4 linked regions of the Saccharomyces cerevisiae S288C genome follow. The gene in region 4 interacts genetically with the main gene of each other region. Each region holds a gene or a part of one and is shown on either strand. Other genes may lie near its edges. The genes, in order: ANK1, VHT1, RRG9 and ICS2.

What was found.
Region 1: mutations in ICS2 (region 4) and ANK1 together harm fitness more than expected from each alone (negative genetic interaction), as found in Saccharomyces cerevisiae (one large-scale study listed by BioGRID).
Region 2: mutations in ICS2 (region 4) and VHT1 together harm fitness more than expected from each alone (negative genetic interaction), as found in Saccharomyces cerevisiae (one large-scale study listed by BioGRID).
Region 3: mutations in ICS2 (region 4) and RRG9 together harm fitness more than expected from each alone (negative genetic interaction), as found in Saccharomyces cerevisiae (one large-scale study listed by BioGRID).

What each region holds. Positions count from the first base shown.
Region 1 is NC_001139.9:43,401-47,701, forward strand, and holds ANK1 (ankyrin repeat-containing protein ANK1), read right to left. Parts: upstream 1,798-4,301; coding exon 1,252-1,797; downstream 1-1,251. Other genes in the region: TAD1 (tRNA-specific adenosine deaminase), read left to right, coding at 1-1,109; karyopherin KAP114, read left to right, coding at 2,045-4,301.
Region 2 is NC_001139.9:614,590-624,176, forward strand, and holds VHT1 (Vht1p), read right to left. Parts: upstream 5,270-9,587; coding exon 3,488-5,269; downstream 1-3,487. Other genes in the region: ADE6 (phosphoribosylformylglycinamidine synthase), read right to left, coding at 1-1,376; membrane insertase COX18, read right to left, coding at 1,739-2,689; transcription elongation factor SPT4, read right to left, coding at 2,927-3,235; GID10 (Gid10p), read right to left, coding at 6,332-7,210; YGR067C (uncharacterized protein), read right to left, coding at 7,783-9,587. UniProt on the Saccharomyces cerevisiae protein: Involved in uptake of biotin with the concomitant entry of protons.
Region 3 is NC_001146.8:245,697-251,486, forward strand, and holds RRG9 (mitochondrial ribosome assembly protein RRG9), read right to left. Parts: upstream 1,409-5,790; coding exon 764-1,408; downstream 1-763. Other genes in the region: PEX17 (Pex17p), read left to right, coding at 1-520; VID27 (Vid27p), read left to right, coding at 1,765-4,113; MRX7 (Mrx7p), read right to left, coding at 4,359-4,619; MER1 (Mer1p), read left to right, coding at 5,235-5,790. UniProt on the Saccharomyces cerevisiae protein: Required for respiratory activity and maintenance and expression of the mitochondrial genome.
Region 4 is NC_001134.8:549,628-557,957, forward strand, and holds ICS2 (Ics2p), read right to left. Parts: upstream 4,684-8,330; coding exon 3,916-4,683; downstream 1-3,915. Other genes in the region: HSP70/90 family co-chaperone CNS1, read left to right, coding at 144-1,301; SLI15 (Sli15p), read right to left, coding at 1,477-3,573; AMN1 (Amn1p), read left to right, coding at 6,922-8,330.

The sequences.
Region 1 (4,301 bases), on a different chromosome or scaffold from region 4:
TTAATGAGTATTCAAAACTAAAATCTGCCTGCAGACCAATAATTAGGCCTTCAGGTATCAGAGAGTGGACAATATTGGCAGGTGTTGCAGCTATTAACAGAGATGGCGGTGCGAATAAGATAGAGATACTTTCCATAGCTACTGGTGTGAAGGCTTTGCCAGATTCAGAACTACAAAGAAGTGAGGGGAAGATTCTGCATGACTGTCATGCAGAAATACTGGCATTACGAGGTGCTAATACAGTTTTATTAAACCGTATTCAAAACTATAATCCATCAAGTGGTGATAAATTCATTCAACATAATGACGAGATACCTGCCAGATTCAATTTAAAGGAAAACTGGGAGTTGGCATTGTACATCTCGAGATTGCCCTGTGGTGATGCCAGCATGAGTTTCCTGAATGATAATTGCAAAAATGATGATTTCATCAAAATAGAAGATAGCGACGAATTTCAATACGTCGACCGTAGTGTGAAAACAATATTGAGGGGACGCTTGAATTTCAATAGAAGAAATGTCGTTAGGACTAAACCAGGAAGATATGATTCCAATATCACTTTATCTAAATCCTGTTCTGATAAATTATTAATGAAACAACGGTCGTCGGTACTGAATTGTTTAAATTATGAACTCTTTGAAAAACCTGTATTTTTAAAGTACATTGTGATTCCTAATTTAGAAGATGAAACGAAACATCATCTAGAGCAATCATTTCACACTCGTCTACCGAATCTAGATAATGAAATTAAATTCCTGAATTGCCTCAAACCATTTTATGATGATAAATTGGATGAGGAGGATGTTCCTGGTCTAATGTGTAGTGTCAAGCTCTTTATGGATGACTTTAGCACCGAAGAAGCGATTCTTAATGGCGTGAGGAATGGATTTTATACCAAATCATCGAAACCACTGAGGAAACACTGTCAATCGCAAGTAAGCCGGTTTGCACAATGGGAACTATTCAAAAAAATAAGACCAGAGTATGAAGGAATAAGCTATTTGGAATTTAAATCTCGTCAAAAAAAGAGAAGCCAGTTAATTATCGCAATAAAGAACATTTTATCTCCCGATGGTTGGATACCCACCAGAACGGATGATGTGAAGTAATATATATATATATTGTTGAATATGCGTATATGCACACTTTTTTGTTAGTGCACCTTAAAGAAATATATACACAGTAGAAATATCTATATATCCAGAGTTCATCTATCTTTCCCTCTCTGTGGTATTATCATCACATATTTTATCATTTTTTATCATCTTCTTCGTCATCGTCAGATGGACCATCATCTATCATTTCCCCATCCTCATTGTTATCACCTGATCCATTGGTACTATCAATCGCTAACTCGGCACCCTGCAAAAGGTCAATTAATTCATCCAGTTCATCACCATGAACCAAATCAACTGGCTTTTGATTGTTATAGTTTCTCACCCTAGGATCCGCACCCACTTCAATTAAGTTTCTAGCAATAAAAGTTCCATGCTCAGGCTCCTCTTGACTGTATCTGACAGTAACATGTAACGGAGTGTCGCCATCAACGTCGTTTTGTGGGTCTATTTCGATTTCACCGTCTTGATCGAGAATCTTGTCGAGAACTTCCCAGGATCCATACTTACAACATAAATGTAACGCTGTATTCCCCAGTGGTTCTTTGGATTCGTTAATTAGCTTTGCAATCTTCTCAGGATCATTATCTAAGCTATCAAATACGGTCTCCAAAAGATCCAGATTGTTTCTTCTAGCTGCATCCAGCAATTGTTCACTTAAAGAAGCACCTTCAGTATTCATGATCAAAAAAAGAAACTAATTTATTTTGTGAAAAACTTCGACTTCTTTCACTTATGACTTTTTTCACTGGGATTCAGAAACTACCTCACAGGACCCCTATATAATGAATTTATTGTCAACCTTTCTATCAACGCGTTATACCTTGGGTATACTAGGAAAAAAAAAAAAAGATACATATGGATGTATATGACCTGCATACACGATCCGAAAATCTTGAACGTAATTGTAACACTATCAACACATTAAAATGGATATTAATGAATTGATAATAGGTGCTCAATCAGCTGATAAACACACTAGAGAAGTTGCGGAAACGCAATTGTTACAGTGGTGTGATTCCGATGCATCTCAAGTGTTTAAAGCGCTGGCAAACGTTGCCTTACAGCACGAAGCTTCTCTAGAATCGAGACAGTTTGCTTTATTGTCGTTAAGAAAATTGATCACCATGTATTGGAGTCCAGGATTTGAATCATACCGTTCTACATCGAACGTCGAAATAGATGTTAAAGATTTTATCCGAGAAGTGCTACTGAAATTATGCTTAAATGACAATGAAAATACCAAAATAAAAAATGGTGCATCTTACTGTATTGTTCAGATATCTGCGGTTGATTTTCCTGATCAATGGCCGCAGCTTTTAACAGTTATTTATGATGCTATCTCTCATCAGCATTCATTAAATGCGATGTCTTTATTGAATGAAATTTACGATGATGTCGTATCTGAAGAAATGTTCTTTGAAGGCGGAATTGGCTTGGCGACAATGGAGATCGTTTTCAAAGTACTCAATACAGAAACTTCTACTTTGATAGCCAAAATTGCTGCTTTGAAGCTACTTAAAGCATGTCTTCTACAAATGAGCTCCCATAATGAGTATGATGAGGCGTCACGAAAAAGTTTTGTCTCCCAATGTTTAGCTACTTCTTTACAGATATTGGGACAATTGTTGACTTTGAATTTTGGAAACGTAGATGTTATTTCTCAGTTGAAATTTAAATCCATTATATACGAGAATTTGGTTTTTATTAAAAATGATTTCTCTAGAAAGCATTTCTCAAGTGAATTACAAAAACAGTTCAAAATAATGGCAATCCAAGATCTGGAAAACGTTACCCATATAAATGCAAATGTCGAAACTACTGAAAGTGAACCCCTTTTAGAAACAGTTCATGATTGTTCTATTTATATTGTAGAATTTTTGACTAGTGTTTGCACTTTGCAATTTAGTGTTGAAGAGATGAACAAAATTATAACATCTTTAACCATTCTTTGTCAGCTAAGTTCTGAGACAAGAGAGATATGGACAAGCGATTTCAATACATTTGTATCGAAGGAAACAGGCCTAGCAGCATCATATAATGTTAGAGATCAAGCCAATGAATTTTTTACTTCATTACCCAATCCTCAACTTTCCCTAATTTTCAAAGTTGTTTCCAACGATATAGAACACAGCACGTGTAATTATTCAACTTTAGAATCTTTACTATATCTCTTACAGTGTATTTTGCTTAATGATGATGAGATAACTGGTGAAAATATCGATCAATCTTTGCAAATTTTAATAAAAACGTTAGAAAATATCTTAGTATCACAAGAAATACCAGAATTAATATTGGCGCGTGCAATTTTGACTATTCCCAGAGTACTAGACAAATTTATAGATGCATTACCTGATATCAAACCCTTGACATCTGCATTCTTGGCAAAAAGTCTTAATTTGGCGCTAAAATCTGATAAAGAGCTCATTAAATCCGCAACATTAATAGCATTTACGTACTATTGTTATTTTGCCGAACTAGATTCAGTCCTTGGACCAGAGGTCTGCTCAGAAACCCAGGAAAAAGTAATTCGAATAATCAACCAGGTTAGTAGTGATGCCGAAGAGGACACTAATGGGGCTTTAATGGAAGTATTAAGTCAAGTCATTAGCTACAATCCGAAAGAACCTCATTCAAGAAAGGAAATTTTACAGGCTGAATTTCATCTTGTGTTCACGATCTCATCCGAGGATCCAGCAAATGTACAGGTCGTTGTACAAAGTCAAGAATGCTTGGAGAAACTATTGGATAATATCAATATGGATAATTACAAAAATTACATTGAATTATGTCTCCCATCATTTATTAATGTGCTAGATTCCAACAATGCAAACAATTATAGATACTCACCCCTGCTATCATTAGTCTTGGAATTCATCACAGTTTTTTTGAAGAAAAAACCCAACGATGGATTTTTACCAGATGAAATAAATCAATACCTATTTGAACCATTAGCAAAAGTATTAGCGTTCTCTACTGAAGATGAGACCCTACAGTTAGCCACGGAGGCATTCAGCTACCTGATTTTCAACACAGATACACGAGCCATGGAGCCAAGGTTAATGGATATCATGAAGGTTCTAGAAAGGCTGCTGTCTTTGGAGGTATCGGATTCAGCCGCTATGAACGTCGGTCCATTGGTAGTTGCCATATTCACAAGGTTTTCAAAGGAAATCCAACCGTTAA
Region 2 (9,587 bases), on a different chromosome or scaffold from region 4:
ACAGTACCGAAACCACCCGCAATCATAATTGGCTTGTGGAACCCTCTGATTTCCTCCTTCCCTTGGTGATTCAAAACCTTTGTAGTTAAAGTTCTGAAGTAACCGTTTATACAAGGTCTACCAAACTCATTGTTAAATGCAGCTGAACCCAAAGGAGCCTCAATCATAATATCTAATGCAGATGCAATATGGTAAGGCTTACCAATATTCAACTCCCAAGGTTGTTCATTACCTGGTATCAAAAGGTCGCTGACAGAGAATCCACTCAAACCACACTTAGTCTTGGAACCTCTGCCTGTAGCACCCTCGTCTCTGATTTCACCACCAGAACCTGTAGCAGCACCTGGGAAAGGAGACACGGCTGTTGGATGGTTGTGAGTTTCGACTTTGATAAGTAATGGAATTCTTTCCTTTGTAGAGGTCCATTCCTTTGTAGTTGAATTTGGTGCAAAGAAAAAGGCATCATTTTCACTATCCAAAACGGCTGCATTATCAGAATAGGCGCTAATAGTATATTCTGGGTTTAATTTATGGGTATTTCTAATCATTTGAAACAAGGTGAATTGTTGTTTTATTCCATCAATGGTCCAATCAGCATTGAAGATCTTGTGACGACAATGTTCAGAATTAACTTGAGCGAACATAAATAACTCAACATCAGTAGGATCTCTTTTCATAGTTTCGACGAATGCATGAATCAAATATTCCATTTCTCCACTATCTAGAGCTAAACCCAATTCCGTATTAGCTTTGGATAAAATATCCTTTGGAGACTGTTTAGTGTCCTTAGGAGTTAAAGGAACGTGAACTAATGGCTTTGGCTCTTCATGTGTGAAAATACTCATCGTATTTGGTGGTTCGGTCAGATATAATTGTTGTGTCATCCTATCGTAGACACACTTCAATGAAATATCATTTAGATTTTCCAAAAGAGGGAAACCTGGAACAGTCTTTATGAGTAAGGCTAAACCTCTTTCAATACGTTGAACTTTGTCTTGTAGCCCGCATACATGAGCAATATTAGTAGCCTTGGAAGACCAAGGAGAGATAGTGCCTGATCTAGGAACAACTCTAATCAAATATGTGTCTTCGCCAAGAGCTGAACTGGGTAAATTATTAGCGACAGCATCGTTTAATTGTCTTGCTAATGGATCGTTAGCAATATCTAAAGCAGAATCGTAAGTCAACAAAACTTCTAGCAATTTAGTGTCCTGTTCAGACAAATTTTGAGCGATGCCGTTGACATAGTGAATGTAACACGAACGCAATTCATTGATGACAGAAGTACTGTTTGTATAGGAGTTTATATCTTTAATTAGATTATCGACTCTGAACTGAGATAAGGCCTTGGGACCCGGCAAAATATAATCAGTCATTGAACTTGACTTCTTTTGTTATGGACCTGGGAGGATTAAACTCTTAGGGATATCGCTAAGATAAAAGTAGAAGAGAAATATACTTCGAGGCAGGGACAGCCAATTATTTAAATACGTATGTCAAGGTTTTCAAAGAAAGAAAGAGTTAAATAGCAAGATATATTGCATTTATTACGGCATCATCTGTTTAATGAGTCCTCATTCAATTTTTTTTTTTTTTTTTCAATTTCAAGTTCGACGAGAAATTTGGAAAAACGGGTCAGCAGGAAAGAGTCAGGAACGGTTGAAGGATATTGAAAGTCATTTTTGTTTATTTACAAGCTGATGTAGAATTACATATCCTATCTATGCGTCAGCTTCACTCATCGTTGGTAAGGATAAATCCAATTTAATATGATATTTTGCACCAGGGAGAATAGCTGTGATGATATCCAATAGAGCGAAAGAAGGAATGGAGCCTGTGAGGACATTGCTAGCATAACGACACAACCGAGTCTCGATACGTTCAGTATACTAGTCATTGCCTCTTGGACTCTTGTCGAATTCCTTGAAATTGTCTTTATACCTTGCGATGACAAACTTGAGCTAAACATCAGTCGGCCATTGAGTTCCACGTTTAATACCGCCAGAGTCCCCACCAAAATGGGCGCTAGTAGAGGCATTGCTACTAGCGGTGAGCTTAGATCAAAGGAACTGAAACCCAGTGCGGAAAACCAGGAAGGATAAAAACTTTCTATAAGCTGTGTCTCTGTTAGGGTCCTGATGCCCATGGAGACTGTGACCCAAAGAGGAATTTGCACCATTGGCAGTAAGGCATTTTTCCATAGGGGTACATTGTACTTCTTGAATAATTTTTTCTGCCTCTTTCTTGTCTCTTTCACTGCCAATAGTGTAATTTGTTCTGGTGTCAAAACGCCAGCATTCTGTAGTTGTAACGGCATGAAAGAACCGTTGGAGCTAATTCTGGCGGCATTTCTAGACTTTTTATTAGTAACGGCTGCCAGTCGAAGTTTAATAATGGGCGTTATTGGCTGTACTAATTTCCTCAGTTCTTGTTGTTTCAAAATTCTCCTCCGCTGCCATATACTGAATGGCAGCGTCACGAGGGTTCTAAGGGTCATAGTAGTCAAAGGAACAAGCACTATCCATGGTATATGTGAGGCTTCATGCACTGTTAAAAACGTGTCCGCTACACTTTGAAAAAGTGAAAAGCTTCTCTTTGTACTTGGATTAGTCCTACCATATCGCAGACCGACTGAGCTGCACGAGAATGACGCAAAACCATTTTGACGATTGGCTAACCTCTTTAACATAATGCCATACTTTATCTTGAAATTTTCCTATCCTTGGACCTTTTTTTTCTAATGAAAGTCTTTTTAGCCTTAGTTGAATTACTGGACGGTAGAAAAATTGGGTTTGCCAGCAAAAACAAAAGTGCAGAACGTTAAATAAATGAAAGCATAAACTCATATGCTAGAATATTTACTAAAAAAAAAAAAAAGTAAAAAAAATTCATTACTATTATACATGTGATATCAGAACGGAAGGTTTTACTCAACTTGACTGCCATCCCTCGGTTTGTAGTGAGGCAACAGCTCCACAACCTCAGCTGGTAGTCTACCATCGACCTTGATGGCGTACATACCAGCTATACTATGATCTACGCTCAGCCACTTTGCTACCCACGACTTAGTAGGCTTACACATTCCTACGAGGCCCTCGAAAGAAGGCGACGTACATTCCATTGTAGAAACACCTGCCTCTTCAAAAATACCCTGACAGTTGGGACAACCATCTCTATTAAACTCATTTGTGGTCTGCACTATGCCACACAGCATACAGGCTCTTTCACTAGACATCTCTTACACTGTACCTCGTTCGCTTTTGCCAAACTGAATGTGGCCAGGTGTAATTATTACACAGTACATCCTTCGAGCCCTTTCTTAAATTTCACTTTTTCACTCGATTTCACTCATAGAACGTATAAGGTGACCTTTATCAACATCGAGATTAATTATAGATAGAAGATGATTAAATTATATACATGAATATATTTATTTGAGGTATGGTGTCTAAAGCGTAATATACCTATCTACTTCACGTAAATTGGACTACGAGGACCGCTTTAAATAGTAGTAACCATCTCTTTCCTCCATATTTTTCTTTACAAATTCTGGAAGCTCTTCACCCTTATTACTATCATACAAGATGATACCATTACCTAGAGCATGTTTCTTTTCGTTTCTCTTGTAAAAAAAAAGTACAACAAACGTCCATAAACCGTAAATAGCACCAAAAATTAAGCTCACGGTGTAACCAGTCTTAAAACGTGGTGACTCCACGGTAGGCCACGCCAAGGTAGGAATCCAGGCGTAAGTGGATTGAGAGAAGGAATAAATGGCGATCCATGTAATAGCCTTCACCTGAGGATCAAACCTTAAGAAGTCATTAATAAACGACCATAGACAAGGCGATGCGGCCACACTGAAATACGTGGTGAAGAAAGCGTACCATTTAGCTTTCGAAGGAATATCCCACTTGATAAGTAAGGCACAAGAAACGGTATTCATTATAGCAGCAAAAACCATGAATATCCACTTACATCTAAATAAATCGGCACCAAAGGCACAAAAAATCACATACGCAAATCCTAAACATGCGGGTATAACACTCAGGTTGTTCACTTGGGCAATGGAGTACTTTGTATTAGACTTTAACCACAAAGTATATGAACCACTATACGCAGTCATGTTATTCCACGAACATGTATCAAAAACAACAAGTACCCAGAATGCTGGAGTACAAAATACTTTCTTCCAAAGTTTTCTGCTCCATAATGGGGCTAGCTTACTTTTATCAACACCATCTTTGATTTGGTTCCTCTTATTTCTGGCCCTTGCAATTCGTATTTCTTCGTCAGTCAGAAATAAAGAGTAACACTTAGATGGTACACCGGGAATAACAAAAAAACCAATAATAGCCGTGGGAAGAGAAATTGCAATGGCATCGATCAGAAACATCCATCTCCAGCCTGCTAGACCATGGACGCCGTTCAAACTTTTGAATATGCGACTTTGCAGAAGTCCTGAAGTCACGGAACCCAATTGTTGCCCACAAAAGAATAAACAGACTCTTGAATTAATTTCATCTGGGGCATACCAACAACCTAGTATATATTGGGACACTGGGTAGTAAGCAGCGCCAAAGGCACTTAAAATAAATCTGTAAGCCCTTAGTTCGGCTAGTGAGTTTGCCCTATAACATGCAAATGTGAACCAAGTCCAGCCCAAGTCCATTACAGGCAAAATAATATGAGAGGGAAATCTTGGTAACAAATACATAAATGGTAATTGGAAGACAATGGCACCAACATTAGCAATAGTAGAAGTGTAAACGTAATCATTACCTTTCATGTTTAAATCTTCCTTCATATTGGAAACATATGCGTTAGTGTAGTTATTCAAATCCACTGACTTGGACCAACATAACATAAAAAAGTATAAAGCAATAATAATGTCTAGCTTGTAAAGAAGCCGTCTTTCAGCCTTGGTTTGAGTAGTATGATTAGGATACAAAAACTCGTACCACTTACGTGATTTCTTGTATTCCTTATTAACACGATACTCGAATTCATCAAAATATTTCCACCATTTACGCCCAGCTTCATCTCTCACTTCATATGGCAAGTCATGCCTTAAATTGTGAGGATGAGGTTCTACAGCTGTAGTTTCTGCCGTAACGTCTGTCTTCGAGGACTTATCTACGCTATGATGTAGCTCCTCTTCAGCTATGATACTGGAGTTAGTATCGTCTGAGTATAAGTACTGATCATCTTCGGGTAGTTTTCTCAAATGTGGGAAGTAGCTCCTCCACGATTTATTCGAAATTGTCATTATCTATTGATTTGTGTCGGTCCTTTTTTGAAAATTGAAACAAATGAAAAGGCGATTGCTCGTGGGTGTAGAGCCTTTATATATAGTTATGTTATAGCCGTAAGAGTCATGCAGATTTTTGGGAATGGCTATCATCAAACTTAGCCTTGCATCTCATATTTCGACTTTTTTTTTCATTTCACACATTTTTTTTTCCTTTCACAGTTGGGTGAAAGAGTCTCGGAGGCGGTACGGCGCTTTCTGTGTAAATCATCCTAAAGTGATTCATAATCTCAGAGCCATTTCGGGTGAACTAATGATGATTTTCTAGTAGACTACGGCAGTATCTTAGCTGACGCAATTGTAGCAATGGAGGCAATCATGTTAGTAAAGGACATTTTAGTTGTAGGAGCATAGGATCGACAGGCCATGTGAAAGGCGTACTAGCAAAGATTGAAGTAATGAGAATAATTGACGATGATTTTAATTTGAGCTTTTCAATGCAGCCGAATTCAGCAGTAGTTGCAGAACCGGACTAACACTTGAAAAAATCCCACGAGCCAGCTGCCGTCTAAGGATATTGTAATAAAGTTGGGCTTAAACTAAAGTTTTTATATCTTGGTTGTAAGGTTGTAATCATTCGTCTCAAGAAGAACGTTGAGTAATCATTAGTCCTCCGCATAAGTAGGTTGCCAATAACTTGTTCAGCAATGATGGTTGCAGCATATCCTCGCTAACGTTTTACTTACCAAATATTTTTTGCTGGTGATTAAGAAAGCTTCTACCATAAGAACACTATGTCAATTTAAAGCAATAATGTTTTCCTGAGTGTTCTTGAGCCTCTGTAAACGAATCATCAATTCAAGTATTTTTATTTTATTGCAAGGATATCGCCAACTAATTATTAACCGGCACTAATGATAGAAATGTTTTTATTTCGAACTACAAAAAGGGCATACATGACGTGGATATATGTAAAGGGTTACTAGTTTACTTATTGATGTAATATCAAGAACAATGTGCTTTTAAAAGAGACATGGTTGACGAGTAAACAAACATACATTGGTAATTCTATAAGGGTCTTTAGGCAATTTCAAATCCACTTGAGTAGGTGTTCAATGCGTCGCAGTTGGTTGGAACGAGTTCGAGTTTTTGAAACAATTCACAAGCGGGATGATAGTAGTAGCCTTCCACTGAACCTGTTAGCTGGTCTAAACACACATAGTAAAATCCCTCAAATGACGCGCCTTCCAGATGATGATTATCGTCCAACATCAGATTTTCTTGTTCCTCATCATCAAGTAGGAACCTTTCCTTCCATTTAAGATAAATATATCGTTGATTCATAAATTCTGCACTTTCATGATTATACTGACCAAAATTTCTTTCCGTTAACGACCAGTTATCAGAACCAAAATGACCAAACCTCTTCCAATGAGAGCAATCACTTTCTCTCTGAGCCATATAAGGGTCGAGCGTCTCCTCAGCGGGCCAATGCAGTGAACATAACGGGAATTGGTTATAATTGATGACATACCCTTCAAAAAGGGTAACAACTTTATCTAGGACTGGTGTTAAATTTTTAATAGTGAAAGTACCTGTGACATGCGGGTCCAAAGAACGCGAATCCTTGTAAAGTGGCAAGTTTACGGTATCAATCTTCACTTCCACCGTATAATACGTGTACTTTGACGATTGCGAACCGCCAAATCTCAATCCTGGCCTCAAAAAATCTAAATGTCTACCAAGGGATCTGTAGGTATATTTAGCATTCTTACCCACTAAATTGGTCCCTTCCTCGTAAACATCACAGTCCTCTTCTTTTGCTTTGAAGTGAGGCAAACGTGTATCAGTTGAGGAGGGTAGAGAGACATAGGCCGAAGTATATATTTCTTCAATGTTGTCATTTCTTTTGGCCCTTTCTAGAATAAACTTTCTTCCCATGATATTCAGTGATGTCATACCTACAGTATATTTTAAATGAAAAGTCTCATAACACAATACGAAAGGATAAAGATAACTCGTCGATGGCCATCATGATTGCCCTTTTTATATGTTTTTATCAAATATTAAACTAAACAACATATACAATTACATCATTTTTCCCTACTTTCTTTTTCTGTAATGGTTCATCGAAGCATTTTTAAGGGTGCCCTGAAGACTATTGTTAAAAAAAGGTACCGCATACATTCGAACCATTACCAGAAAAAAGAGGGGTGAAAAGACATTCTAAATTTTGTTATCGAATGTGAACAGAACACTTAAGAAAACGCCAAGGTTAAGAAGGCCTTGAGAGTATTGATTAAGGCGCATGGAGCACAGGTAAACGCGAAAGACGTTTTGTACTTCCTTTTACTGAGCACCTCTTACATGTAGTAGTAACCATCGCAGCGGAATAAGCACACAAAAAATGGTATTTACTTTTAGGCAAACTTGTGGGAAGTATTAAAATTATTATGTAGATTTATGTATATCGTTTGTGGTTGTATTAAACTTTAATGTTATTAGTGTTGTTAACAACATTTCTTTGGCCATTATTTTATTTGGCTAAAAATTTCAATGTTTTTACTTTGTTTATTGTCAGTTGAAGAAGCTGAGAATTCTTGTGATTCCATGTTTACCTGGGGTGGGACCACTATTGTTTGGACTAAATTGATATTGTTTCCTGTTGCCCTTAACAATGGTTGTTCCTTCTCTTGTTGCTTAGGGGCCGAGTTCACGTAGGTGTAATTACTCGTTGAGATAGGTTCAATGGCTTTTATATCTAATGGGGGCAGGAGAATCTTATTACAGTTTGAATCTCTCTTTAGGAAATTAGGAGAGAGTGGCAAACATGATGCTACTGAAAACGATTTCATATCAGAAGCACCAGATAAAGAACCTCTTGAAGTCTTGCGAAACGGCTGTTGAAGAGCAAAACAAGACCAATTAGAGATATCAGTCAACAATGCTTTCGTCTGGTCATTCAGGTGAGGGGAGTAGATTAAGTATGGGTAAAGAATATTATCTCTTAATGAAGATACAATAGCATGCAGTAGTATATGGTAAGCAATGAAGGAATCTGACCAAAAATCGAACAAAATGGAGTGTAAGTCTGTCACCAAGTTCTTTTGGTGTGTTATAATGTAGTCATTCACAAACACTTCAACCTTCTCAAATTCCTCTTTCTCTGTTGATGAAAGGTAGCTCTGACGTTGTACATAAATGGTATCGAACCAGAAATATAACATTAGGTGAACATTGGGGTTTACTAGTAATTGAGATACTTGTGATGGTGAAACATCCGAGCTTGCAATTAACTCCGATGAAAACAATTTTAGTTGGAAGCTGACAATGTCGGTAATTAACTGAATATTCCTTGGGTTTAAAGATGCCAGCGTGAAAGACTTCAAATTAAGAAGCATTGATATGATTGATAAGTTCGTGGTGATCAAGGTTTCATCAACAAATGAGGAAGAATGATGAAGTAAGCACGAGGTCGATACCTGTGGAAAGTTATCAATGAACCATATGTTCCTTGTGGTCCCATTTCTCAAAGTCAAGTTGTTGATGAATTCGAACCAAATCGTTTCCCACAATAACCAGTTACTTTTCGATTTGCAGTCCGTAATCCTGGCGTTCATAACGTTCGCAAATAAAGAGGGGTTTGCACTAGTTTCAGGTTTGATCGGCTGCTGCATTACGAAACATTCATTCAAGTAAACCAGCAAATCATGCACTCTAAAATCAGATGGCAGCTCTTGCGGATAAGTCTTCTTTATTATAAAATACACGTACGCGGAATCTGCCAAAATATTGATATGCTTTAAAGTTAAGTCAGTAGTGGACATTGACGGTCCCTTGTATATGAAGTCCTTAAGTGGATTAGACGAAATAAACTCTTGATTGACGAACCAACCAAATATTAGTAAAGAATCGTTGTTGAAGTTGTTTGAATCGCGCAAGATATTGACCCATAGATCGAATATGAACCATGCATTTTCCTTACTATTCAAATAATGGTAACTGGAGGATGCCACGGTGAATGGCTTCAGAATATCTTGAAGCATTGAAAACACATCGAACTTTTTAATGGAATTAGAAACAGGAATGTTATTCTCCAACATTACTAGAAGAGAATAAAATAGAATCAAGGCAAAAACATCATGTTGCTCTGTCTGTGACAAAATGTCCTCAGTGTCAAAGTCATTGTCATGTTTAGATGAGCTAGCATACAAATTCGTACAACAGATAAACCATAGTTTTTGAGAATCTTGATTTAACGAAATGGACATACCCAGACAAGCTATTATGAGACCAAAAGGCTTGTTAATCCAAAAACTTTCCACCAGCTCGTCAT
Region 3 (5,790 bases), on a different chromosome or scaffold from region 4:
AACGGTGAATGCCATCAAGGGCTTGTTATATAATGGTGGATCAATTTATGCATTTCTATATTTTGTTATTGCTATGTTTGTTGAACCAACGCTACAAAAGCAGTACCAGCAGAGAAATGATTTTTCCTTGTTTGTTTTGTTGCGTTTGAGAAGAATCATAGCGCAATTGCAAAAACGACTGGTGATGACCCCAGTATCGTCGTTGGGGTTCAACGAACAGAATAACTTTGTGGAGAGGTCCACTCAAACTTCAGACGACAATATAATACGAGAAGATAATAGCCATTGGGCTGAAATGATTTATCAACTGCAAAATATGAAACAAGAATTACAGTATTTTAACAGATCCTCAGGCCAACCATCTGAAAGTATAGACGATTTTGTCTTTCAAATTAAGATGGTGACTGACCAGGTTGAGTTAACAGATAGGTCCCGAGCTTTCTCAAATAAATCAAGAAATATTATACAGGGAATCCGAGAAATCAAAGGTTGGTTTGTGAATGGCCAAGTGCCAAGGTAACAATCAAAAATAATAGCATTGAATTTAAAACGCTCTAGTGCACGTAACGCATCCGTCTGATCAGTGGCGAACAATACCGTTATTTTTCATAGTACCTAAGAAGACACATACCAATTTTTGCAAGTGAAAGTGCAGAAACGGTTCCACTAACGATATTACTGCATGCTCTCTATTCTAATGTACATATATATGTTCCTTTATCTACAAGAAGTTTCGTAATAATATATAAATCCCTCAAAAGTGTTATTGTTTCGAGCCCAAATGCTTCAAAATGTATAGTTTGTTGGTGTTTTTCTTTTCAGGTGTACTGTTGTTAGGCTTGAAAGGTTTAAAAGTGCGAACATTCCTTGCTATTAATTCAGGTGAATTTGAGTTGGACCCAAGTATAATCTTTCTGCTAGTAACAATTTGATTGGATACAAAATCGGCATCCTCTTTTCTTTGATACATTTCTTTTATCCGTTCTCCTCTTCTTTTCCATCTCTCGTAGGTGTTATTGTTTTCCTCATCAGTACGCTTCCAGTTGGACTTCAAAATTCTTCGAACAGCCTCGGGAGAAATTTTGAACCGGTCTGCAAGATCAGATGCTGTCAGTTCAGGAAAGTTGAATTTCAATAGTCTTAGAGCCTCCATTTGTTCCTGTGATATCTTTTTTGGTGGGTTCCACCTCTGGCCTTGCAATTTTTTTCTAACTGCCATTTTCTGCTTCTTCCACTCAGGAATGTCTTTCGTACCATCTCGTACTTTTTCTGTAAACTCTTTATTGGACAAACTCGATTTATTGACTAATTTAATAATCTTTTTGGATGACCATCCCCTGTTCTCATTGAGTAATGGACCGCAGCGCAGGCAATGAAAAGAACGACATGCTATTCGCAGAATGTTCATGCCAAGTGCTAACCAAATGATTCAGAAGGAAGTCGAAGGGAATACGTAGTGCCTTGTTAAATAGCTTACCGTGATATGAACAGTATACGATCGACTCTCCTTGGAGACTTTCTACACCATTGGTGATTGGTGTTTTAGTTCTACCATCATTTCATATTTACTAGCTTTATGATCATTTTAGACGACTGTGGGAATGTTGTTATTTTTACTAATCACTTTTACTTAGTAATGTCCCTTAAGGACAGCACTGAAAGCAAAGTAGTCAAGCACTTCATTCGAACTTGATTAGTAGAAACAAACTTCATTCTTTCTTTACGTATCCAGTCCAATAATATCTGCAGTAGTTATAGTGACTGATGAACATTTTGAAGAAGTTTATGGAGTCTGGTAACAAGCCAGAGCTCATCACGATACCTTCTGGGCAGTTTAATCTTTTGAGGTCTAAGAATTCCCCTAAAGCTGCTTTAGAATGTATTTACAACAATGCAACTTTAAGCGTACGTAAAATAGGCAAATTTGATTATGAGTTGGCGGTTTATAGGGTAGAGGACGATAGTGAAGGAGGCACGGGAGATGAGGCTGAGAATTTTGAAGACGACACCATCAGTGTTTTATCCACACAGTCTAAAAAGAAAGAAGAGGAGTGGAGCGTTGAAATATCGGATAAAATCATGTTTCACAAAACATGGGATAAACAAGGAAACGTGGCGCTTGTGTGGGAGAACTTAAGAGGTGATGAACAAGATGAAAAGGTTCAATTTGTTGTTGCCGCTGATGTGTCGTTTTCTGATGTTGAACAGTTTATCCAAACTGTTTACCGATGCCAATTCGAAGTAAGGAATAAAAAATCCTCTCTCACTGCCTCAGCAGATGACTTAAAGGAAATAGAGCATAGATCAACCAGGCTCTTTGTTCAAGATGATGATGACGAGTTAGATTCAAGCTCAGATGACTTTCAAGATGCTAAAGACACCTCTTTTGAGCACGAGAAGGAAAGTGAAATATTGGAAAGAACTCCTTCTCCATTGAAAAAAGTTCCAGAAGGGGAATATTGTTGTTTAGTGATGTCTAGCCTATACATGTATGATCCAATTCAAGAAAAATTTATTCTGCAGGAGCCCGTGGTAAAGGTAGCAATTATTGATACAGGCAAGTACGAATTTTGGCTAGCGATAGAAGGTAAAGATAATCGTCTTGGGACTCAGGTCGCCCCAAATATCAATCCTACCTTTGAATTAGCTACCGATGCCTTTCTTTTCAACTATACGCTACAAAACATTACATTGTCTTATATGTTAAAATTTAAGGACTTAGATAAGTGTATTCAATTCAGGTTTGCTTGGGTTAAATGTTTATGGATGACTTTGAACAAAGAAACGTGGACCGACGTTCCTGAAAAGGAGAAAGATTATATTTTAGATTCATCATCCGTGCCATTGGAAAAGCAATTTGATGACATTTTACACATAGATGACAGATCAAATGAGGAAAGAGATAAAGAATCAAGCGAAAGTGAAAATGATAGCGAAGATGAGGATGACGAAAACGATCACTCCAAAAGAATCATTTCATCTGAAGCCTTTGAAGAACCTAGGCGTGCGACTTCCAAAGGTAATAGTTCATTGACTGTCGCCTTTAGGAACAACAGGTCATATGTTACAAGAGATAACAGAATTGGTGTGTTCAAAACGGATGATGAAGACGATTCTCTAGAATTTGTAGCTGCCATAAAGAATATTTCTAATTTAGGTGGTAAAAGCATTGATCCTCATAAGCCAATGTTGTATATGGAAGATCGTAATTTAATTTTGACTGATGGCGAAAATGAGAACAAACTTTATAAGATGGATATAGAAAGAGGAAAGGTGATTGAAGAATGGTCTACTGGTGACAAGAATGTTGTTCAATATGGTCCAACCAAAAAATTCGATCAAATGACGCCTGAACAAACAATTGTTGGCGTTTCACAGAAAGGTGTCTTTAAAATTGATCCTAGAATTAACGGAAAAAATAAAATAGCCGTCGATGAATCAAAAGATTACGTGGGTAAATATAACTTTAGCTCTATTGGAACAACAGAGAGTGGTTATATTGCTATTGGGTCAGAAAAAGGTGACATAAAACTATATGATAGGCTCGGTATTAGGGCAAAAACTGCTATACCTTCACTAGGCCAAGCAATCAAGTTTATTACTACCTCTGCTGACGGTAAATGGTTATTGGCGACTTGCGAGAGTACTCTGCTTCTTATGGATTTGAAAATTAAGGATGGAAAAAATGCTGGCAACATTGGATTTCTGAAGTCGTTCCCAGCCAGTGAAAATGTTAAAACATATGTATTAAAAATACGACCAGAACATTCGGCATCAATCTTAACGTACACAAAAAAACCAATCCGATTTACGAAGGCTTATTTTAATACCGGTATAGGCCAGCAAGAACAAACTATTGTTACATCGACGGGTCCTTATGCGATTTCTTGGTCATTAAAGGGCATTTTAAATCAAGATGGTAGTAATAATTATCCTTACAGAATCCGTAGGTACAATGCTGATGTTGTTGCTGATAATTTTGAATTTGGTTCAGACAAAAAGGTTATCGTTGCCTTGAAAGACGATGTCTCTCTATCGAAAGTGAAATCCTTTAAACAGCCAAGCAAAGGAGTCTTGATGCCAAGTGCTTCCCTCCAAGATTTTTATGGCTAATTCTTATTTTCAAGGTTTTAAAGTTGTATTCCGAGTGTATTATATAGTTGTTTCCCTTCCGGAAGTTGTGTAATATATAGTTTTGAATATATATAATGGTGTTAAATAGAAATGCCAAATAGTACGTAGTAATATTATTTAAATTGCATGCGTTTTTTTCGTTTTAAAAAGAGATTTTAGTGTGAAATGCAGTCAAAAGGTACTTTTGTCTGTTTTATAGTACTTGTACATCAGACAAGGATGAATTAATCTTTTTTAAAGCGGTCTCCTAGTCTCCTTCTGAACCCAAAAGTAGATCTCATTTCATCCCAAAATAAAAGCCTTAAAGCCTTAAATTTCTGTCGTGGAGTTGGCTTATAAAGATATTGAAAAGCAGTTGATTGGTCAGTGAAAGGATCTTCTTTAATACCATTTACTTTCCTATATACCTTGCGTACAAATCTATGGAAACCTGGACTACTCAGTAACTTGTAGTAAAACCATTCTTCTATACTTCTTGGAGGCATGCTTAAACTGATGTGATAAACATATTCTTGTTGGTAACAGAGTGTTCGTTCAATCTTTTTAAGATATTTTGTTTCCTAATTTCTTCACATTTTTGAATTACTGTTTTTCTTAATTTCATAACGGGTTCTTTTCAAAAAACCGTAAAAATTTGAGGTCACACCAACTAAATACAAATTGTTTCATCACGGTGACTATATCAAGAACTTCGTAAGGAAACATTTAGAAAACTCAATATAGTAAAGTTTCATCAGCAATCTTATCTGAGTAATATTATCTACGATCTAAATATAGGATGATCTGCCGATTTAGGAATCGTACTGTAGATTGCTCTTGGCGACAGATATAGTGAAATACCTTTTACAAAGTGGATACAGGTTGCCTATCACTACCGCCATTTCACTAGCAAGTAGAGTATTGAGAAAACGGTAAACTTTGAAAGTTGCAGATGCAGAATATATATCTGGTTTTGTAGTTCTATCCGCTAAACGGGACGATCGCATTTTAGCCGCCGACAGTGTTAATATAAGTAATGAACTTGGGTTAATTTGATTACGCGTCACAGCTACTAATAAAATAAGACCGAGAGTTTTAATCAGCTAGTGCATACCAAAACAATGAGTAACCAACACAGCCCTCAGCCATTTTGTTTGGACACCAAATTGGTGAAACTATTAGAAGAGCTCCAGGAGGGAAAGCAATTCAACAATAAAAACATATTCCCGGAAAAAGCATTATATTTGAAGCTCGCTCTTGATTATTCTTTCTTCAGAAAGAATTTACTAGAGTTTTGCGTCCACCTTGACAAGATAAAAGGAGTCATTAGACCAAACTATGACACTATATATATTTTGTGCCTGTTGGAGGTGGATCTCCTCAATCTGGTATTTACCGACAATATATTGGAAATATGTTTGCCCAGGTTTGTTTCAAGGGAGGACTTGAGGGTTTTTAATAATACTTTTTACACATATCACGATAACCGCCTACGTATTCTCCAAGAAGACTTTTCTCAATTGTTCAAAAAAATCAAAACTAAGGCTTCTGTACTATGTTTTACAGTTGAGGAAATTTTTCTGACAAACCAAGAAATTTTACCTCAAAACTCAACAGTGGCAGAACTGCAAAAGAGCACTAATAAAGTACAGACAAATGGGCCGCAACGGCACGATT
Region 4 (8,330 bases):
AAAGAAAAAAAGAATATGTGTAATTTCCGGCACTTTTCAGAGCGATGAGCTTAAATTCAAAAGCAGCATTGAATTAAAAGTGAGGTCTTGAGCACTACATTCTAGCAAGTAAAAGAAAAGAATAAATTGGTTTTGCATCTAGAATGAGCTCCGTTAACGCAAATGGAGGATATACCAAACCACAAAAATATGTGCCAGGGCCAGGTGATCCTGAACTTCCACCCCAACTATCCGAATTTAAAGATAAAACATCGGATGAAATCTTGAAAGAAATGAACAGAATGCCTTTTTTCATGACCAAGTTGGATGAAACAGACGGTGCAGGTGGTGAAAACGTGGAGTTAGAAGCTTTAAAGGCATTAGCTTATGAAGGCGAACCACACGAAATCGCTGAAAATTTCAAGAAGCAAGGTAACGAACTATACAAAGCAAAAAGATTCAAGGATGCAAGGGAACTTTACTCAAAGGGCTTGGCTGTAGAATGCGAAGATAAATCAATAAATGAGTCACTATATGCCAATAGAGCGGCATGTGAGTTAGAGCTGAAAAATTACAGGAGGTGTATCGAGGACTGCAGTAAAGCTCTAACTATTAACCCCAAGAATGTTAAGTGCTACTATCGTACAAGCAAGGCTTTTTTCCAATTAAACAAGTTGGAGGAGGCCAAATCAGCCGCAACATTTGCCAATCAAAGGATTGACCCAGAGAACAAATCAATTTTGAATATGTTATCAGTGATTGATAGAAAAGAACAAGAATTGAAAGCAAAAGAAGAAAAACAGCAAAGAGAAGCTCAGGAACGTGAAAACAAGAAAATTATGTTAGAGAGCGCAATGACGCTGAGAAACATAACTAACATCAAAACTCACTCTCCAGTAGAGTTACTTAATGAGGGTAAAATAAGGCTAGAAGACCCAATGGATTTTGAATCTCAATTGATCTATCCCGCATTAATTATGTACCCCACGCAAGATGAATTTGATTTTGTAGGTGAAGTAAGTGAGTTAACTACTGTGCAAGAACTTGTTGACCTAGTTTTGGAAGGGCCGCAAGAACGCTTCAAAAAAGAAGGTAAGGAAAACTTCACACCAAAGAAAGTGTTGGTGTTCATGGAAACAAAGGCAGGTGGTTTGATTAAAGCTGGTAAGAAACTGACATTTCACGATATCTTGAAGAAAGAGTCGCCAGATGTACCATTGTTCGATAACGCTTTGAAAATATATATTGTGCCAAAGGTAGAAAGTGAAGGGTGGATTTCCAAGTGGGATAAGCAAAAAGCCTTAGAAAGAAGATCTGTGTGAAGTGTCAAATAGTTAAAAATATGTAACGCAAAGTTGTAGATAGAAATAACAAAGCAAGAAGGAAAAGTAAAGAAAGTGAACGATATACGTAATGCAGGGGGAATACCAGAGTATTTAAAGTGTACTTGATTTAATGTTAACCAGTTTGAATTTTTCTTTTCTGGGGTAATCGAATTCAAGACCTTTTGGGCACAATTTGACGCGGTTTCAACCTGTTTAGCCTAGGATTTGGGAAAATTTCATCGGTGTGCAAAGGCGGAATTGGTCCAAAGATAGTTTGTGGATTTATATCTTGCTGTCTTATCAATTGCTCTTGCAAATACGGGGATTTAGCCCATGCCGCTAAAGTTACGCTAGCCTCATCTTCAGAATCAGTATTTATCTCTGGTAAAGAATCATTGACAGAGGCTATCTTTGGGGTCACATTTCCGATTATTTCTCGATGGTCAACTGTATTTATTGTGGCCAATATATTGTCGGTACTAAATGCAGTATTTTTGTTGATGGTATCTCGCACATGATTATCGAAAGGAGCCAAAGATTCTTTTAGACGTATGTCCTTGTAGTCATTACTAAAGCTTGTTTGCTTTTTTAGATCTTGTTCCAAATGCGACATCCTTTTTTGTTTCTCTTGTTTACGCCGATGATGTTCCTGTTGAGACCTCATAATTCCTGATAACCTTTTATCAAACTTTTTTTTTAAGTCATCTCGTTCTGCCTCTGCTGGTGGAAGTAATTGAAGGTTTGTAAGCCGATAATTTTTGGATTTACGAGACTCTGGCTTGGAGATGTCAGCAATATTCGGAGAAAGTTTTCTTAATGTTTTCTCTTTAATTTTCAAACGATGTGGCGTTTGCGACGTTGTTAAATTTTTATTTTTATTAGGCGAAATAGACGCTTTTGTTGGTCTCAAATAACCTCTTACAGGGCTTTGGTAATAATTTTTAACTTCTTTAGATGGCGAGCTTGAATCGACACTTATTTTTGTTGGAGAAATACTGTGCGGTCTTGAACCAGTTTTATGAACATCACTAGAGTGTTTGGACTTCTTTTTCTGTTCTGCAATGATTGCTAGCTTTTTGTGTGTCGTTAGCTTCAAAGAAGTCTTATCAAACCTCGGAATAGAGGATTTTCGAGAGTTTTTTCCTTTGGGTGAATTATTTTTGGTTATTTTATTTTTTACTGAGAATATATCTCTTAACGCTTCTTGCATATCAGTATCCGTGGAGTTTATTGACTTAAACTTTTGAGAAACTTTTTTCATGGGGGAGCCTGTTAAATCGATTGATGAAGAGGAGTATTTGTGACCAACGTTTCCACGGGAAATTTTGTTTTCAAATGATTTTGTTGGAATAGATGATAGCCTATCGAAAACACTGGATGCTTTTGTAGATCCCGCGGTATCACTGTTTTCCACAGCTCTTATAGCAGGACTATTTATCGTAGATTTTTTTTTAAATGCGATTGGTGATTCCTTTACTGTTCGTACTTTTGGTATTGATCCTGAAGATTTTGTTGGTGGAATGTGTTGAATAATAAGAGGATCTTTATTCGGCAGTGGAACAAACATATTCGACCTTCTTTGAGATCTCGCTATCCCAGAATTCGGTGGTGGTTTCACCTTTACTGATTCAGCTTTCTTTAAAGCTTGAAGTATAGGTTCATTCTCCATTTCTTCCTTAGCCGCCCATGTTTGATTATCGAAGCGTTTTGTATTAATCGGAGACTCCGAAGTCTTGGAGGATTCTCTTAGAACCTTTTCAACTTTGTAAGGTGACCATGGTGAGGATTTTTCGCTTTCATTGGCGTCGACTTTAACGCTATTCAATGGCTCAACCGGGCTTTTATTGGTATCATGTATACTAAATCTATTCATTCCTTCGGTGACTTCCTTCCTGCGGAGTGATTTAGGCGTGATACTTTTATCGTTATGTAATCCATTTCTGGGTGTCTTAGTAACGTCTTTTGCGGCATCATTCTGGGAGTTAGAAAGTTCATATTCTCCTTTCATTTTAGGAAATTCGACATCCATTTTGTTATGCGTATTTTCGGGGCTAATTAAAGACTCTTCCATCTTTTTGTCTTCATACTTGAGTGTATTCATATAAACATTATTTCTTAACCATTCACTACTTTCGTACAATCGTTGATTTATTTCTGAATGTGCATCTGTTGTTAGATTATTTAGATCATCGAGGGTTTCTATGATTGAACGGGTAGAGCCTGGCTTCCTTTGAGTTTTCTTCCTAGCTGCTTTGATTGCCCAGTCCATTGTTTAAATCTTCGGGCTCTTTCAAAGTCCGTCAGTTGAGGAGATACTTTGAAACGTTTTGTTTGTATCATTGGCAATACTTGAAACGAGTTTTTGTTTGTTTTCTTTTTTTAGTTAATTCGCGAAATTTAAAATATGAAGATCGGTTTCAGAACAGAATGGATCAGGCTTTTCCGCGTATAAGAAATAATAACACTGACATAACGCTATAACGAAACAGCGTAACAAAATACTCTTTACATGGTTTATTTTTATATATTCATTTAACATTATCAAAACTAACATTAAGTCCTTTATTTATCAAAACAAACGAAAAAAAAAAATGCGAGACAAATGATCCAGTCATTTATTGTCAATATCTAAGTCAATTAGTGGTTGCAATATGTCTCCAGTTTCCACTTTATGAGCAAAAATTTTGCCCTCAATATTTATCTGATTTTTTTCAGCGAATTCTTTCAAACTCCCGAATCTACCGCTTGCGTTTCTTCTTAATTGTTCATTGGTATTCATGATTGTGTTTTTCGGGGACATTTGGTGGGTATATGAAGTATCCGGTGAAGAATGATATTCTTTGTCCAAGAAAGAACTTGCCAATGAAGTTTTTCTTGAATTGACGCCTATGCTTGAATTAGAATCGTACCCGTCAATGAAATTTGGCTTACAAGACCTGCTGAATGAGATTGCATGACTTTTTCTGTGGTAACTTTTCCTTCGCCCTGAAGGCTTTGTAAGTTCGTGTGATAATGAACGTGAATGCGAATGTGATGATAATTCATTACTTTCTACCCTTAAAGGTGATACCGCATTAGGCTTTCTTGGACATATGGAGGAATTTCTCCTCGTTTTCACACCATCCTTGTCTCCAGGGAAAGAGTAGGTCTTCAGCTTGTTGAACAGAGCTTCGCCTTGAGACTCTTCAAAATAAAAGCTCTTTTCGTACTCATGGGGTTGTTTGCTGCTATCGAACTGAGATTCTGTTGAAGAGAGAGAGCTGAAACGTCCATAGAGTGGGCTGCCAAGTGATTTAATGGATGTACTAGATTGACTGCCCGTAGTAGGAAAACTAAATGTGCTTATTCTTTCTCTTTCTTTTTGCTCAAATTTGCCCATATCTTGCTGGAAAGGGAAACTTCAGTGAAGTAATAACGAAGGTGGTGTAGAGTATAAATTTTTATTAAGTATGCGCTTTGACGTTCACATATTTGTAAAAGATTTATTTGAGAAGATAGAATGGGTCTCATTTATTTATACTTAAATGCTTCTTTGGATGTCAAGCTTTCTTGATGCCGGACTTGCAGTCGAAGGGCTCTTTCCCAACAGATATGTAACCAAATGCGTCGAATAGAAAAAGAAAGTCTTCCAAGGAAAGTTTATTACGAGGGGTTTTGTGCATTAACGTGGCATATAATTAGGTATAAACTCAAGGTTGGCTTAAGATTAGCGAAACAAAAGTATAAACGACCCAAAATTGGAGTGGATGTGTTCTTTAACACATAAACTGTCGTACAAAAAAAAAAGAAACAAAGAGCAGTTGAAAGAACATCAAGATCATAAGGACCCCCATATCGTGATAATCATTGATGACCAAATCGTGAACTCCCTGCGCCTATGCCGTGCCATAGCAAATAAAGTACTGGGCTGGATTGTTAATGACTTGCATATTAACGACAGGTAAACGGTACCCTATTTTTCTTTTTTACGTGCTACGGACGAAAAGTGAGGGTGATTAACGCTTCAAATAAGAAACGACGGCTAGCAGGGTCTAGATGCGTGAGATGAGATAAGGAAAAGAGCTCTGTGTCCCAGGTAATAATCCCTGGAGAGATATAATCTTCCCTACAACTTGATTGCATATTAACGCTCCCAAGTTGTGGCCATTGAAGAGCTCTACAGCAATGTCCCGACGAACGGAAATAACCCTCTTTTTCATGATATTTTCGGAGTTATCTCCACTGTCAACAACTATTCTCGAATATAACAGAATGAAAGGGATCACGTACGCTTGTTATATTGCTGTCGTTCTCCGTTCGCAATCCCATTATATGCGAGGGGCAAAAGAAGAGACGGCCGGTAACTCATTTTTTGGTGTGTGAGAATTGCGGAAGCTTCGTTCTCCCACCTTTTTTCGCTGTGTTTTTCTTGTCCTCAGCACCGGCTGGTCAAGCCGGTGCTGAACGGCCGGAGAGAAATATAAACGGATGAAAACGTGTTAATAATTGCATCAGTAGTAGGTGGCGGGGTTGTCTCATTTTTGTTATGGCGTAAGGTGAAAAATTGTAAAGGATTGGTTCGGTTGGGTTGGCGACAATTAATTATGGGATAAAAAATTGCTTAATCTTTATTGGAGCAATTACCTGCATAGGCACTCATAGGCCACAAGGGTTTGATGGCGGAAGGATGTTATACCTACGATACTACCATACATGTGATATGTCACTTTCTAGTCCGAAGCGTGGAACATATTATCTTGTTTGACGTTGTGGGTGTTAACCGTAATTGTCTGGGTACGCCGAAGGCACGGAGACCATGTTAAAATATGTTTCTCTTTTTTGCTCATTTTTTTCTATTTTTTGCTGCGCATTGCCCGAAGCTTTTCTTAGTGGTAGTCTGCTCTCGCGCTCTTTGTTACACTCGCAAAATTTTTTTGCTGGGCAAAATAAAGCACTCTCCGGCCATTACTGGCTGTCGTCCGCCAGGATTTTCATTAACTTGCAGAAGTAAACAAACAAAACACAATTATGACACCGTGGAAGTTTCCTAAATGGTAACAAAAAGCTTAATTGAAAGAAAGAATTTCCTTCAACTTCGGTTTCCTGGTTCCGCTATTTCTCGCTTGTTTCTTCTATTGGACTTAGGATGTCTCATCAATCATCTTATTCCTGCTGGTGTTTTTTGTATCGCCTTGCCTTGGAGTGTTTATGCTTGTCCTTTGTTCAGTAACCATTCTTCAAGTTTGTTTCAAGTAGTAGGATACCTTCAGATATACGAAAGAAAGGGAGTATAGTTGTGGATATATATATATATAGCAACCCTTCTTTATAAGGGTCCTATAGACTATACTCTTCACACTTTAAAGTACGGAATTAAGGCCCAAGGGAACTAACAAAAACGTTCAAAAAGTTTTAAAACTATATGTGTTAACTGTACAAAAATAACTTATTTATCATATCATTTTTTTCTCTGTTTATTTCTTCTAGAACTTATACCTGTCTTTTCCTTTTATTCTTTGAATTTGGTTTAATATCCCTTTTTGGTTTAATATCCATCCATTCCTTTCACTTAGAACTAATAATTCCCTTCGTTTGATAATTTATCATTTTCCTTTTCTGTTAGTAAAGTACCCATTAAATGAAACTAGAACGCGTAAGCAGCAATGGCTCCTTCAAAAGAGGTAGAGATATCCAGTCACTTGAATCTCCGTGTACTAGACCGCTGAAAAAAATGTCACCTAGTCCATCTTTCACATCTCTTAAAATGGAGAAGCCTTTCAAAGATATTGTAAGGAAGTATGGAGGTCATCTTCATCAAAGTAGTTACAATCCCGGCTCAAGCAAAGTGGAGTTAGTAAGACCAGATTTGTCTTTAAAAACAGATCAAAGTTTTCTTCAAAGTAGTGTGCAAACTACGCCTAATAAGAAAAGCTGCAATGAGTATCTTTCAACTCCAGAGGCCACACCATTAAAAAATACGGCTACAGAAAATGCATGGGCAACCTCTCGAGTTGTTTCTGCATCCAGTCTTTCTATAGTGACACCAACGGAAATTAAAAACATTCTTGTTGATGAATTCTCTGAATTGAAGTTAGGGCAACCTTTGACTGCTCAACATCAGCGAAGTCATGCGGTCTTTGAAATTCCTGAGATTGTGGAAAATATCATAAAAATGATAGTTTCTCTAGAATCTGCAAATATACCAAAGGAAAGACCATGCTTAAGAAGAAATCCACAATCTTATGAGCACTCTCTGCTTATGTACAAAGACGAAGAGAGAGCAAAAAAAGCATGGTCAGCAGCCCAGCAGCTACGAGACCCACCATTAGTCGGACACAAGGAGAAGAAGCAAGGGGCCTTATTTAGTTGTATGATGGTTAACAGGTTATGGCTTAACGTAACAAGGCCTTTTCTTTTCAAAAGCTTGCACTTTAAGAGCGTCCATAATTTTAAGGAGTTTTTACGAACTTCCCAGGAGACGACACAAGTAATGAGACCGTCTCATTTTATATTGCACAAATTACATCAAGTAACACAACCAGATATAGAAAGGCTTTCCAGAATGGAGTGTCAAAATTTGAAATGGTTAGAATTTTACGTTTGCCCTAGAATAACTCCCCCATTAAGCTGGTTTGATAACCTCCATAAACTTGAAAAGCTTATTATTCCAGGCAATAAAAACATAGATGATAACTTTTTACTCAGACTATCACAGAGCATACCAAATTTAAAGCACTTAGTTTTAAGAGCATGTGATAATGTCAGTGATTCAGGTGTTGTTTGCATTGCTTTGAATTGCCCGAAATTAAAAACATTTAACATTGGCAGACATAGGCGTGGAAATTTAATTACGAGTGTCTCACTGGTCGCGCTAGGCAAATACACACAGGTGGAAACTGTGGGGTTTGCCGGTTGTGATGTTGATGATGCCGGTATTTGGGAATTTGCTCGATTAAATGGCAAAAATGTTGAAAGATTGTCTTTAAATTCCTGTCGTCTTTTGACTGATTACTCTCTACCCATTCTTTTTGCTTTAAACTCATTTCC